Mus musculus: one gene and its partner. Each later gene encodes a partner of the first gene's protein in a complex. Links are inferred from orthologs where the notes say so. Each region holds a gene or a part of one and is shown in the gene's direction. Other genes may lie near its edges.

Evidence for each region. Proteins that work in one complex are often made in the same cells at the same time.
Region 2: Cdhr5 (region 1) and Myo7b share a complex: the UniProt entries of both Homo sapiens proteins name them as parts of the IMAC/intermicrovillar adhesion complex. The link is inferred for Mus musculus from reciprocal best matches to the Homo sapiens genes CDHR5 and MYO7B.

Annotation. Positions count from the first base shown.
Region 1 is NC_000073.6:141,271,957-141,279,293, reverse strand, and holds the start of Cdhr5 (cadherin-related family member 5 isoform 1 precursor), read left to right. Parts: upstream 1-2,507; 5' UTR 2,508-2,575; coding exon 2,576-2,669; intron 2,670-2,747; coding exon 2,748-2,923; intron 2,924-3,255; coding exon 3,256-3,306; intron 3,307-4,754; coding exon 4,755-4,847; intron 4,848-5,026; coding exon 5,027-5,128; intron 5,129-5,236; coding exon 5,237-5,347; intron 5,348-5,435; coding exon 5,436-5,606; intron 5,607-6,188; coding exon 6,189-6,279; intron 6,280-6,361; coding exon 6,362-6,459; intron 6,460-6,579; coding exon 6,580-6,780; intron 6,781-6,917; coding exon 6,918-7,031; intron 7,032-7,108; coding exon 7,109-7,193; intron 7,194-7,291; coding exon 7,292-7,337. Other genes in the region: Sct (secretin isoform 1 precursor), read left to right, coding at 196-278, 360-461, 572-676, 755-884. UniProt on the Homo sapiens protein: Intermicrovillar adhesion molecule that forms, via its extracellular domain, calcium-dependent heterophilic complexes with CDHR2 on adjacent microvilli. Thereby, controls the packing of microvilli at the apical membrane of epithelial cells.
Region 2 is NC_000084.6:31,969,624-31,976,471, reverse strand, and holds part of Myo7b (unconventional myosin-VIIb), read left to right. Parts: intron 1-93; coding exon 94-213; intron 214-1,223; coding exon 1,224-1,397; intron 1,398-2,263; coding exon 2,264-2,491; intron 2,492-3,479; coding exon 3,480-3,647; intron 3,648-4,817; coding exon 4,818-4,935; intron 4,936-5,024; coding exon 5,025-5,151; intron 5,152-6,848. UniProt on the Homo sapiens protein: Myosins are actin-based motor molecules with ATPase activity. Their highly divergent tails are presumed to bind to membranous compartments, which would be moved relative to actin filaments.

The DNA of each region.
Region 1 (7,337 bases):
GCGGTAGGGACAGGAGGTGGCCGGACGACAGCTGGGTGGGCGGCCCTGACCTTCCTGCAATCAATGAGGCGGGGCCGGCCGCGCGGAGCCGGGGCGGTGCTGGAGCCCACCGCCGCCGGCGGTCCCGGCAGCTATAAAGCGGTGGCGCGGGGCTCAGGCTGAAGTTGCAGCATTTGTCACACCCAGAGCCCGACCATGGAGCCTCCGCTGCCCACGCCGATGCTACTGCTGTTGCTGCTGCTGCTCTCCAGTTCCGCCGCGCTCCCTGCACCTCCCAGGTGAGCAGGGTTGGGAATCCGTTTCATCCCGGCCACGCCCACACTTCAATTTCTGACCCTTATGGCTTCACCCCTCCCCAGGACCCCAAGACACTCAGACGGAATGTTCACCAGCGAGCTCAGCCGCTTGCAGGACAGTGCCAGGCTGCAGCGCCTGCTGCAGGGTCTGGTGGGGAAGCGCAGGTGAGCCCGCGCTAGGTAGAATTTTCCAGACTGGCTAGTATGGGACAGGCCCGCCACATCCCTGTACACCACTAATTCTACTTTGGGCGTGGGGGTGGGGGTGGGGTCAGCGAGCAGGACACAGAAAATATCCCAGAGAACAGCCTGGCCCGGTCCAAGCCCTTAGAGGACCAGCTCTGCTTGCTGTGGTCGAACACTCAGACCCTACAGGACTGGTGAGTTTTCCATCCTCAGCTGGATTCCTAAAGTGCCCCAGCCAGGTGGGTACCCGCACTCTGATGGTCACTCACTAGTCCCCTCTCCTTCCACAGGCTTCTGCCCAGGCTGTCCCTGGATGGGTCCCTGTCTCTCTGGCTGCCTCCTGGACCAAGGTCTGCTGTTGATCGTTCAGAGTGGACTGAAACAACCAGGCCACCCAGATGAGGGAGGAAGAGTCTCTAGGACCCTGGCTGGAGTAGGGATTGGTTGTCCTTGGCATCAATAAAAAAGGAATTTAGACCCTGGTCTTTTAGCTCATGGTGTGTGATGTCTGATAAAATGAAGGCCGCCTCTGCTCCGAGAGCCTGGAAGGCGTGGACAGATCCAGCCATCTCATTCAGTGGCTAGGACCACACCCAGCTGCCCTTTGAACCCAAGAAGCCAGCTAGGACATTTCTTATCTCTGGCATCAGCTGAACCCCTCTTTTCCCAGCTGAATTCCCTAGAGTGCCACCTTGCCCTGTGGTCCATTTAGCAAAATTTCTAGGGATCAGGGACTCCCCACCCTGGTCCAGCCATGTGGCCAGGGTAAATGAAGTGGTGAGGAGGAGGCTCAGGCGGGGTCATAGGGGTCCGCTTATGAGTGGGAGGACCTGAGTACATCCTGGCTCTAACATGTCTAGGCCTGAGGCCTGACGGTGATGTCATCTCCCAGTAGGCAGCTGTAGGACCAGTGAAGGGTTGTGAGACAGTGCTCAGTCTTTGCAGAGGCTTGGAGCCTCGGGAAGGTTTTCAGACACCTAAAGCAGCCAGCCCTGCAAAGGCCCACAGTAGTGAGAGCTGTGCAGGCCCTTTCAACAGAACACCCCCTACGACCCTCCTGATCCCACCCAGGGCCTTCTTCCTATCTCTGAGAGCTTACAGGCAAAAGGAGAGGAAGCATATCTAATGGAGGCCTGGGCTGTGTCCTCACCAGGATTCCTGTCTTCCATCAGATACTGGCTCCCCAAACCCCAGCTCCTAGCTGTGGCTGAAAGGTTCTATCTGCATCCTAACACCAACCAAGGCTCTGCCAGGCCCTACCCTGGGGGAACTGCTGTGTTTCTCATACAGCAGGAGCATACTGGGACACAGCCATTTCCCTTGGGAGTGGACGAGGGAAGGGAAGGGAGACGACATGACATAGCTCCAGGGATTTTGCTAGAGAACACTGAGGAGAAAGAGACAAGATGAGGGACACCCCAATGAGGGCTACAGTAGACCCAATGGCTCAGCCTGTTCTTGCTCCCAGCTCCCCACAGCCCTGCCCCCATTCCCCACAGCCCTGCCCCAGCTCTCCATAGCCCTGCCCCAGCTCCCCACAGCCCTGCCCCAGCTCCCCAGACCCATGGTTCCATCCCACAGGCCTGCTTCAGCCCCCAGCCCTGACTCAGCTCCCTACAGCCCTGCCCCAGTTCCCCACAGCCCTGCCCCAGCTCTCCATAGCCCTGCCCCAGCTCTCCATAGCCCTGCCCCAGCTCCCCATAGCCCTGCCCCAGCTCCCCAGACCCATGGTTCCATCCCACAGGCCTGCTTCAGCCCCCAGCCCTGACTCAGCCTCCTTAGATCTATGGCCCCAGAGCCTTGCCCTGGCTCCCCACACCTATTCTCCACTCCTCCTTGTTCTCAAGCTTCATACACCTTATGTGTAGTTCCCGTGGGTTGAGTCTCCAGCTAACTTCCTGGAAGTCCAGGCCGAAATATGACCTCATGTCCCCTGTTAGTGCCGGCCAGCGGGAGTCCCCTTGATAGAGGCCATCTGTAAAGGGTCATAAAATGAGGCGGTGCCTGGCAGGGGCGAAGGTCGCCAAGGCAGGAATTGTACCAGCCCTGGAACCAAGCAAGCTGGATCCTTCTTCCAGGTGACAGCTGCCGCCATGGGGGCTCCGGCCCTCCTGTGGCCTTCCCTGCTGTTGCCATGGCTCACAGTGCTGTTTGGCCAACCTCCGGGGACCTTGGCCCAGACCCAGGGTATGTGTCGGGCAGGGGCAGGACAGGTGGGTGGCAGAGCTCTGATGAGGAACCAACTTCTTCTTTCCAACTTTCTAGTCTGCTCTGTGAACCAGACCATATTTAGAGTCGAGGAGAACACCACTGTTTCTGAGCCACTGGTGAACATTTTTGTCCCAGACGGCCTGCACGTGACCTTGGGACCCTTGTCCACTCCTTATGCCTTTAGGATCGAAGGAAAAGATCTGTTTCTCAACGTGACTCCAGATTATGAGGTACAGTCTGTAGGCTGGATGGAATGTGCCTTCATGGAGACATACATGGGCGGGCCTCCTAACCTGGGGAAGATTCAGGGAAGGAGGGGCTGAGGGTTCTCTATCCCCCTGAGTGAGGAACCCTTCAGGCCCTGTGGTCGGTTGGTTGGTACTGAGGGGGAGGGCCGTAGGGGACAAAGCTGCCAAATGCCCCCCCCCACACACCCAGGATTTCCCACAGATGACTGGGGCGCTGGAGCGGTACCTGCTCTCCTAGCCGTACTCTCCCGTTCTAGAGCAGCATAGCTCCTTATGTGGCAAGTGACTCATAGGGCCCCTGGCTTCATCCTTAGGAAAACTCATTGCTCCAGGCAGATGTGGAGTGTAAGAGAGGAGATGCGGTGGTAAGTTAACCCCAGTACCTGATCACCTCTGCCTTCTGTCAGAGTACCCCAAGGCCATTCCCCCATGACCTCAGCTCTCTCCTGGCCACTCCCACGCTTGCTTCTTTCAGCCTAGACTTCCCTGAGCTCCAGACTCAAAGTCAGCTAACTTAGAGCTGTGGATTAAGTCAATACCCTGAGGCCCTAAGTCTGCCTCTCATCCCTCACCTGCCAGCCACTTAGGCCCCTTTTGAGGTCACCCCACCCCAGGTACATTGTTGGGATTGTCGGTTGTGCCTCAGTTAGAGTCAGCCCTACTCTTCCTACCTCTAGTCCCACGGGGCCTTGGGCAGCAGGTCTCCTTTCTGACCCTGCCGCAGATCCATTTGCTCTCCGTGCCCTTGGTCCTTCTCTATTCCTTCCCCCACATAGTGAATCCCTAGAGAGTCATAACCACAACCCCAGACAGCCTCACACAGAAACTTCTACGTTTCTTACCGGACTCCAAAGCTAAATGCACAGGTGGGTGGGTGAGGCAGGCTAGGGCATGCAGACACTGATCTGGTATGCAAATTCATTTTGATGCTTAACCCTCCTACGTTATGCTGCCCCGCTACCCTATCCCATACATCGTATCCCTCAGCCTCCACCACAAGCCTTTTACTAAAGGAAGCTCGAAGAAATAACAGGCCCCACATAATTTCTGCTTCACCATGAGCAACTCTCACACCCTGCACTCCTACCTGGCTCCATGACATGTTACCACACACATCTTGGGCCACGTCTCTAATAGGTAGTAATATTAAAAAAACAAAACAAGACAAAACTTATTTTTTTTTTTTGGTATAGTTCAGTGGTAGAGTATCTGCCTAGTATGATTTGAAGCCCTGGGCTCCACCTTCAACACATGAATATAATTCACACACATACACAGACATACAGATACACAGAGAGACAGAGACAGAAACAGGAAGACAGAGAGAGGCATGGACTTGGTATCTGTCACACCTGAGAAGAACAGCTTTCTCTCTGTCCTCCAGCACCTGGCTGTGTTCGTTTCTCCCTGGGTCTCAGGAAGGGTTCTCTCATGGAATAAAGCTGTTTGGTTTTAACCTAAAGGCCCCTTTCTCTGATCTTCTCTTGGAGACCTGTTTCTGAAGCCGCGAGAGGCTGTTTTTCTCCCTTCGATGCGTTGCTGGTTGTGGCCCTGGGATTGTCATCATTTCTCTTCAGCCCACCCACCACACACATGTGGCCACACTCTAAAACTTGTTTTTACAGTCTACGTTCCTCCTAGAACAGTAGCTCACAGGCCACCACATTATTGCTGCCATCAGAGCTGTGGAATGAAAGGGAAAGAATGACTGACTGACTGAATGAATAAGATAAGAATAATGAAACAGATAAGAAAAGGAATGAATGAATGATGGGTCATCAGAGCATTGCTGACTTTGGTGACTTTGCTGCAGGTGGTACGCCTGGAGGTGTTTGTGGCTGTCCTGGATATCAATGACAATGCGCCAAAATTCTCCTTTGAAATCAAGACATTTAATGTATCGGAGGTGAGCCCAGTCGGAACCAGTGCTGTCTTGAGCATGGAGAGGCAGGGGGACACAGGGTGTCTGCAGGGGGACACAGGGTGTCTGCAGGGGGACACAGGGTGTCTGCGGGACCACATCGGGAAGATCTATATACAGAAACCACAGCATGGCTGGACCAACCTCCTCTTCTCCATTCCCAGGACACCAAAGTGAATACAACCGTCATCCCTGAGACACAGCTGAAGGCTACAGATGCTGACATAAATGACATCCTAGTCTACACTCTGCAGGAAGTGACCCCCGTCAGTGCTTCCCCAGCCCCACTCATTATTGACAACCCTCACTCTTTCTGATGCCTTCAGGCCTCAGTTTCTCCACCTTCCAGAGTCCCACCTCCTTCCCCTCCACAGAATGCCAGCAAGTTCTTCTCCCTGGAGGGCGTAAACTACCCTGCTCTGAAGTTGGACCAGACCCTGGATTACTTCAAGAATCAGAACATGACCTTCATGCTGCTGGCACGGGTAAGTGGATCACATCTTCCTAAGTCCTGGGTGTTCTAGGTCCTGTCCAAGCTGGGCCTGACCTATCAGGGGCTGGCTGTCACTACAGGATACTTGGGAGGAAAATGTAGAGCCCAGCCACACGGCCACTGCCACCCTGGTCTTGAACACGCTGCCAGCTGACCTACGGACCCCCTGGTTCCTGCCATGCTCCTTCACAGATGGCTATGTCTGCATTCATGCCCAATACAGTGCGGTTGTCCCCACGGGACACAAACTGGTAATGGGGAGAAAGGAGGCCCAGGCCCAGGGTCAGACTTGAATCTAGAGCCAAGTCAGAAAACGTTCAGGGAAGGGATCCAGCCATGGCCCTGTGCTTCTGGAGAGGCTGGCAGACAGTTCTGTGATTTAAGAAACAAACATGAACAATCAATCAATCGATCGATCAATTAATCATCAATCAATCATTAACTATCCCTCCTGGGGGTGGGGCAAAAATCAGTGAGGAGTGTGGATCCTGTTATGTAAGCTGGGATGTGAAGACTTCAGGAGCAGGGCTGATGCTAATAAGGGACTGCTAAGTCCTTGTCTAGATGACAGTCTCCTCTGAGGCCAGCAGTGCCACTGGGCAGGGTGGCCCGCCAAGGCCACCACAGCCTCCACTGTGCAGAGGGGCATACACTGAAGCTGCAAGCCTTCCTTCATAAGTTCTTGTTGCCACTGAGTCCTTCTGTGGCCGCAGCTCTGTCCCAAGCAGGCACTGCCCCTCCCTCCAGGCTCCAACTCACGTTTCAGATCTTGAGGGGCAACAAGAGAGTAAGAGCGGGGGCTCTGAAACCTCAAGATGTCCCTATCCCTACAGCCGTCCCCCCTCATCATGAGTCCTGGTCCCATCTATGCTGTGGACGGAGATCAGGCCATTAACCAGTCTATCATCTACAGCATTATAGCGGGTAAGTGAGGGCTTAGCTCCACAGCACCTGGAGCCCACAACAGAGGGACCAGACACCAAACTCCACCCCCAAATTCTTCCAGGAAACACAGATGGCACATTCATCATCAACGCACACGATGGCAACCTCACAATGACCAAAAGTATCCCGAGCCCCATGAAGTTCACCCTTCTGATCAGGGTGGGTACCGGTACTGGATGATGGATGGGTCTCCTGTGTCCCTAGCTGTGTCCCCAGCTGTGTCCCCTGCTGTGTTCCCAGTTGTAGCTCCATTAAATCCTGCTTCCCCTGACTCCTCAGGCTGATCAGGAAGACATGGCTCAATACTCAGTGACCCAGGCCATCGTGGAGGCTCGCAGTGTCACTGGAAACCCACTCCAGTTCTCCCAGAGCCTGTACTATGGCACAGTGGTACTGGGATCTGAGGCTGGCACAGCAGTGAAGGACAAGACCTTCCCTTCGGAGATCCTGAGGATCCAGGCTCAGTACCCAGGCTTCCCGGTATGCAGTCCCCCCCCCCTGTTCACCTAGGAACCCTATAAGTATACCTGGACCCTCTGGCCTCCTCTCTCTGTCCAGGCTGCTTGGGGTGGGCAGTAGGGCACCAGGCCTATGTCTTACTGTAGTGCCTCATCTAGGACCTCAACTCAGCTGTCACATATCGAGTCACCAACTCCTCAGAATTCATGATGAATAAGGATATCATGCTGACTGCTGTGCCTATGGAGGAAGCAAGAACCATCCGTGTAGAGGTGGAGTGGGGATAAGGGGACCAAAGGTGTGGGGGTAAAGAGGGACCCAAGAGGAACAAGCCCCTTTCCTGACCCAGGTAGAAGCTAGCAATACTGTGACTAAGGACACAGCCACCGCTGTTGTTGAGATCCAGGTGTCAGAGCGAGAACTGCCCTCCACAGGTGAGCCCCCAGGGCCTCCCAAGCAGGGTGGCTCCCCCTCTGGGACAGGCATATCTGGGGACAGAGGCAAACCCAAGTTTTGTACATGCCACCACCAGAGTTCCCCACACCCCCAGAAGCTGGAGGAACGACTGGGCCTTCAAG
Region 2 (6,848 bases), on another chromosome or scaffold:
CCAGCAAAGAAGGGTTTAAATTGACCTGGGCCGAAAATAGAGGAAGCCTCCATTCTGAATGTCTCCCTTTTCCCACCCCCTTTTCACCACCAGTATCTGCTGAATTTCATTAGTCAAGGGCCACCCAGCTATGGGCCCTTCTGTGCTGAACGGCTGCAACGCACCTTCGCCAATGGGGTGCGCGCAGAACCCCCCACCTGGCTGGAGCTGCAGGTAGGTGCTGGCAGGGTGGAACACACTGTTTCTTGACTCCTTCCACCTTTTTTTGTGTGCACACCATGTGGTTGTGGGTACCACAGCATGCATGCAGAGGTCAGAGAATATCTTGGTGGTGTCAGCTCTCTCTACCATGTGGGTACCAGGTACTAAACTCATGTCATCAGTCTTGGCAAAATTGCCTTTGCTAGCTGAGCGCTCTCATTGGCTCCCCTGTTGATCCTTCCAGGTCACCCCGGTACTCAGCATGGCCTAGGCTTCAGAGCCTCCCTACTCACCTCTTAACCCACATTCCTGTTTTGTTCCTACCTCCCACCTACCTGGACGGGAAGATATCACTACCATGCTCCGTATAGAGAGCGCACACTGATTGCTTCTAGCTTCTAGAAGGCAATGGTCCTGCAAGCTTGTCGCCTTTCATAGCTCTGCTATTTATTGGGAGCCGGCACCACCTCTACCTGCTTTGTCTCATGACATCCCTGAGTTCTCAAGACTTCAGAAAGGGTCATTCCAGACCACCAGGATAAAGGGAGTACTCTGGGTCACAGCAGTGCCTGTACCTGCCCCATGTAGACAGCAGGCCTCCTCTGGCCACATTCCCTTCATGTTCACTCTTCAATTTCCCCTGCCTTCCTTCCCCAAATTCCCAAATAGGCAAACTATAGGTGAACATGAAGCCACTCGTATCTACCTATACAGTGTTGGGCTTAGGATCCAATGACTTAAACTTTGAGACAACCTCAGCACCTTGGGTTTGCATCTGAGTGTGGCTTATTATGGGATACAGGCTATACATCAGGGCTGCAGAGACTACAAAGTCTACAGCTTACCTGCTCTGGGTGGGTAGCACAGACCACTGGACACCATGCCAATTCGCAATCAGACCCTGGGTCTTCTGAGGGACTCACCCTCAGGACTCTGTAGGAACAAGCAAGCTTAGGGATGGGGAGCCTCTGGGGACAGGCTCTGGGTCCCAGGACTGCAGAGTACCGCCTATCTGTCCCTAGGCTGTCAAGTCCAAGAAGCACATCCCGATCCAGGTCATCCTGGCAACCGGAAGGAGCCTGACCATCTCTGTGGACTCCGCCTCCACATCACGAGAAATCTGCCAGCACGTCGCTCAGAAACAGGGTCTCAGGGACAATCTGGGCTTCTCCCTCCAGGTCGCTGTATATGATAAGGTATCAGCTAGGACTCATATCCTACCTATGCCTCCTATGCACACCTGGGCCAGAGCACCCTGAAGCCAGAATCTGTACCTATTAACCTGCCATGCCTGCATCCTCAGCCACCACACACACACACCACATATATGGGCATGCATATACATACATTCGTGCACACACACACACATCCATGCATATGCACACACACCAGAGACACCTCATAACACACGCCCAGTCCTCCTGCATACTTACAGGCCATCAGTTGTACGTTTAACCACATAGGGCTAGATATGAGCCTTTACCCCCAAACCTAGGAACCCTAATATTTATCTGTAGGAGTCAAACTCTCCCTTCTTTAGGAAGCATTTTAGGAGGTGATGGACAGACCAGGACACCTTCTGCGAGCTGGGGAGACAGTTCAGCTGGTAAAGTACATACTGTGGCATGGATAGTTGAGACCAATCCCCCAGTACCATGTAAATAATCTAAGCATGGCGGCATTTGCTGCTGCACTACCCAAATGGAGATGTGAGAGTCTCAGGGCTCATTGACCAGCAAACCCAACCAAATCAGTGAGTTCTAGGTTCAATGAGAGATCCCATCTCGGAAACAGAGATGGAAAGCAATTAGGGAAGATTTGCCATCCACCTGTGACCTCCACAAACACACACACACACACACACACACACACACACACACACACACACAAAACATGAAGAGAAAGAAAGAAGCATTTTGGTGTCCGACTGGACTCAGGAGTGGCTTCTTGGCCCACACAGGGCACTATGGTCCCTGTCTTCCTCATACGATGTTAAGGATAGATGTCTGTGTTGGGGCGTGGCATATCGCAGCTGTTAATCCCTCCTGCCCCCAATTCTCAGTTCTGGTCCTTGGGCAGCGGCTGTGACCATTTGATGGATGCTGTGGCCCAGTGTGAGCAACTGGCCCGAGAGAGGGGAGAGAGCCAGCGGCAGGCCCCCTGGCGTATCTACTTCCGGAAGGAGTTCTTCACCCCCTGGCATGACTCCCAGGAGGACCCTGTGAGCACTGAGCTCATTTACCACCAAGTCCTCCGTGGGGTGTGGTCTGGCGAGTATAACTTTGAGAAGGTGAGGAGCCCTGCGAGTTGCCCCATTCCTAGACTGTGGCCATCAGGATGCTTTGCAGTATAGGGGCTACGTGGCAATGGAAGTAATAAAGAATGTGGCAGACAGGAGCCTGAGGAAGGATGGATGGAAAGGTAGATACAAGGGTGCAGGCATGGAGCCAACACTGGGCACAGACATCTCTCCCAGGCCTGGCCGCCTTCTTCCTCCTCTGGGTTGCAGGTTTGCTTGGGCATCTGGGATCCTTGGCACCCACAGCATCAGGCAGAAAAGGCCCCCCTACTTGTCCCAGGCTCCCTGACCTCCCACACCAGCTGCTCATAGAGCAGTGTATCCTGGGGATCAGGAATGTAGCCTCGAAGCTGAATGATGATAGCCTGGGTTCGATCCCTCGTACTGTATAAACTGAACCTGGTAGCGAACCCCTGTAATGCCAGCAACTGGGAGGCAAGAAGAGCATAAGTTTAAGGTTATCCTTGGATATATAGGGAGTTTGAGGCCAGTCTGAGATACATGAGGCTTATTCTAGGGGTTGGGGGGAGGGAGAAGGAGGGAAAAGAGGGGAAAGAGGAGGAAGAACATGGAGAAAGAAGAGGGGAGGAGATGAGAAGGGAAGGAAGAAGAGGACCCTCGGGGTCACTCACATCTGGGATGCACAAAGAGCTCTAACAACAGGGTGCTCTGTGACTATGTGGCACCAGGTGCAAACACCACATGCCACATCAGGAGGCTGTGTCTTGGGACCCTAACAGCCACAGCCATTTCAGCCGTCTGCCTGAATGGGGCAGCCACTGTGTTTTTGGCATGGGAGGACTTTGCCCCTCCTAGAGCAGCAGTGTAGGGGAGAGGTTAGGACAGGAGGCTGCTCCTGCCTCCTTCCTTGTGTGAGAGGCTGGTGAGCCCCACTGCTCTGAGGCAGGAGCTGCCTCGTGGGAAGACCTTGTGGGCCCTTACTCACCCCTCTTATGCTCCCGCTGTCCCTGGCACACAGGAGGAGGAGCTTGTGGAGCTGCTGGCCCGGCACTGCTATGTGCAGCTTGGGGCCACGGTGAAGAGTAACGCTGTCCAGGAGCTGTTGCCCAGCTGTGTTCCCTCCAAACTGTACCGGACCAAGTCTCCAGAGAAGTGGGCTAGCCTTGTCACCGCTGCCCATGCCAAGGTCAGTCTGTGGCAGGCTGGGCACTCTGGGTCCACTCTGAGGGGTGATGAGAGGAATGGGTCCCTTCCCCCATGAGTCTCCCATGTGCCAGGGACCAGGAAGCCTTAAAAGGCACATCCCTGATGCAAGGGACAAAGTGTCTCCTTCAGCTCAGCACATCAGCACAGGTTCCTGTCACCTGCCCTCCCTCTGCATAGGCCTCTTGGTCCCAAACTGCTCTGCCCAGCGGCACCTAGCTGGCCTTTTTCCAGGGCCTGAGGCTCCACAGCTGCTGAATTCTGACAGTTCTGTGGCCTGGCACAGGCTCATCATTTCTTCCCTTCATGCTCACCTCCAAGCCTTTCAGTGTCCCCTCAGTGGGCACATGGAAATCTTAGGTCACCGTGTACACGTCCTAAGTGTTTGGTACATGTGGCAGATGGCCAAATCACCCTTCATATCTGCTGTGTTCATTTCCATGCCTAAAGTCAGCACATGAATGTAGAGATGAGAAATGGCATTTGGTCCAACAGAGAAAGAAAACTTGAGGCCATTTTAGGCACAGCCCAGTGGATGTGGGACATGTGAGGAAGGGAAAGGGCGAGCCAGGCAAAGGGAAGAAATATAAGGATGAGAGAAGTGTAGAGATGGCTTGGTTGGTAAAGAGCTTGCTGCGCAGGGCTGACACCCTGAGTTCAAATCACCAGAACCCATGAAGTGCTGGGTGGGGTAGCACACGCCTGTGCAGTCCCGATGTGTACCTTCAGAGAGATGGAGGCAGGAACAGGAGGATTGATAGAATCCTGGGAGCCAGCTAGCCTGGCACAGCAATAGTGAGCAACAAGAGACCATGTGTCATGCTGGGCAGCGGAGGTGCACGCCTTTAATCTCAGCACTTGGGAGGCCAGAGGCAGGCAGATTTCTGAGTTCGAGGCCAGCCTGGTCTACAGGATGAGTTCCAGGACAGCCGGGGCTACACAGAGAAACCCTGTCTCAAAAAATAAGAGAGAGACAGAGACAGAGAGACAGAGAAGGGACAGAGACAGAGACAGAGACAGAGACACAGAGACACAGAGAGAGACAGAGACAGAGAGAGAGACCATCTGTCAATCAAGATGGAAGGTGAGGGCCAATGTTGGAGGTTGTCCTTCATCCTTCCATATGCAGCCCGGGCTTTTCCACTCTATATAGGCCCAGTATACCCAGTCGAAAGCCACGCCACTGGCGGTGAGGGAGCAGACAGTGGAGGCTGCCCGTCTTCTGTGGCCCCTGCTCTTCTCCCGGCTATTTGAAGTCACCACACTCTCTGGTAAGAGCATGTGGTGCTGTGTGGTTGGGGAGGACAGGGTTCTCATGGTGATCAGCATGGCCTTCAGTCTGGGGTTGCCTTCTGGCCAGGTCCCCGCCTTCCCAAGACGCAGCTGGTTTTAGCCATTAACTGGAAGGGGATGTACTTCCTGGATCAGAAGGAGAGGACACTGCTGGGGTTGTCCTTCGCAGAGGTCATGGGTCTGGTCGCCAACAGGTAAAACTCAAGTCTTTTACTTCTCAACCTGAGACCTTGGCTTAGGTGGATGTGGAACTCAAGGACAGACATGAGGAGGGGCTCACGAGTCAGCAGTAGCAGGATAAGTGGAGCAAGCACAAGTGCAGGGTGAATCTGCGGCTTCTTTGAAAAAACAGAAACTGTATAAGAATACGTCTGCATTTTAATCCCAAGTGTAGGACATGGGGCCGCTTTAAACAATTCACAGCCGCTGATTATGACTTGCCTCATGCTTTATCAGGGGCGTGATTTTGCCAGCTGCAGATAATTTCTGCAATTGTGAGACGTTTGGAATTCTGGGGACTTTTCAGAGGGTACATAAATGCTGGGTTCTCAAGAGGTGGTATGGGTTGCTGGTTGGTGGTTGGTTGCTGTTGGTCATAGTTTGATAAGTGGGCATGATCAAAGGCGAAACAACAAGAGGAAGAAATTCGATATGCTGACAGAGAAAACCAAACTTTCACCAAGGAACTCACACCTCTGTCAACAGGAAGTAGTCTAACAGTAATGTCGCCCCTTTCCCCTCTATCCTTTGTTCTGTCCTTTCTAGCATTAGGGGGTTGTAAGGGAGAGAGAGGGTATCACACTCTCTGGTAAGAGCATGTGGTGCTGTGCGGTTGGGGAGGACAAGGAGCCTGCTCCTGGTGGCCAGCATGGCCTTCAGGCTGGGGTCGCCTTCTGGCCAGGTCCCCGCCTTCCCCTCCTTCACAGCTGATTTTTGCCATTAACTGGAAGGGGAAGCGCTTGCCTTCTGTGTACCCCTGAACTTGTAAAGTAGCAAATGCTGGCTACACATGGGACTTGGAGACACCCTCCCACACTTGCTCAGAGTTCTTCCAAGGCATCTGGGAACTCCTGCCTTAGGAACTGTTCCACTTCAGTTCCTTAGTCTTGCTAGGGGTCTGACAGGTTCACAGTACCATTGCTCCCTGGGGTCCACTGCCCACTCTCCTGGGCAACTGGAAGTCCTCACAGCATCCCCTGCTGGGCTAGCGAATTGCCTTGCTGCCACACAAAACTACCCAGTATAAGCAACTTAAGGGAGGGTGGGTTCAGTGTGACTCACAGGTTGAGGGTTCAGACATCACGAGGAAAGACAGACAGCAGGAACGTGAGGCAGCTGCCCTGCCGTGTCACAGCAGGAAGCAGAGAGATGAGCACTGCTCAGCTAGCTTTCTCTTTCTCACTCAGCCAGGGATCTGAGCCTACAGAATGCGGTACCCACATTTAGTACGGGTCTGCCCACATCAGCTAGAAACTATGAGGTATACCCGGAGGTTGGTCACGTAGGTGAGCTAGAGGCTAACACGGTGACAGTCAGTTTTAACAATTGCACCCATTCTGGAGAGAAGTAAACTGAGGCACATCAGCTAGGTAACTGTCCCATGTTCCAAGCCTAGAGCACTCTGTGTGATGTTGCCCATTTTCTGCTTAGAGCAGTCTTTCATGCTGGGACAGTTCACACCCCGCTGCCTCTGGAACACAGAGATCTGCTTGCCACTTGTCCAGTGCCTAAGGTGCTGCCTGGAACTTGGGCCAACCTGGACTCTGACTAACCTCTTCCAAGGACCCTTTAGGAGTCCCTTGTTTCCTCATGTCTGGCGCTGGAGCTGTCACTTCTCAAAGGCTGCTCAGGAGCCGTAATGAGAGAGAGCGAGCCGGGAAGGCTCTGGTCC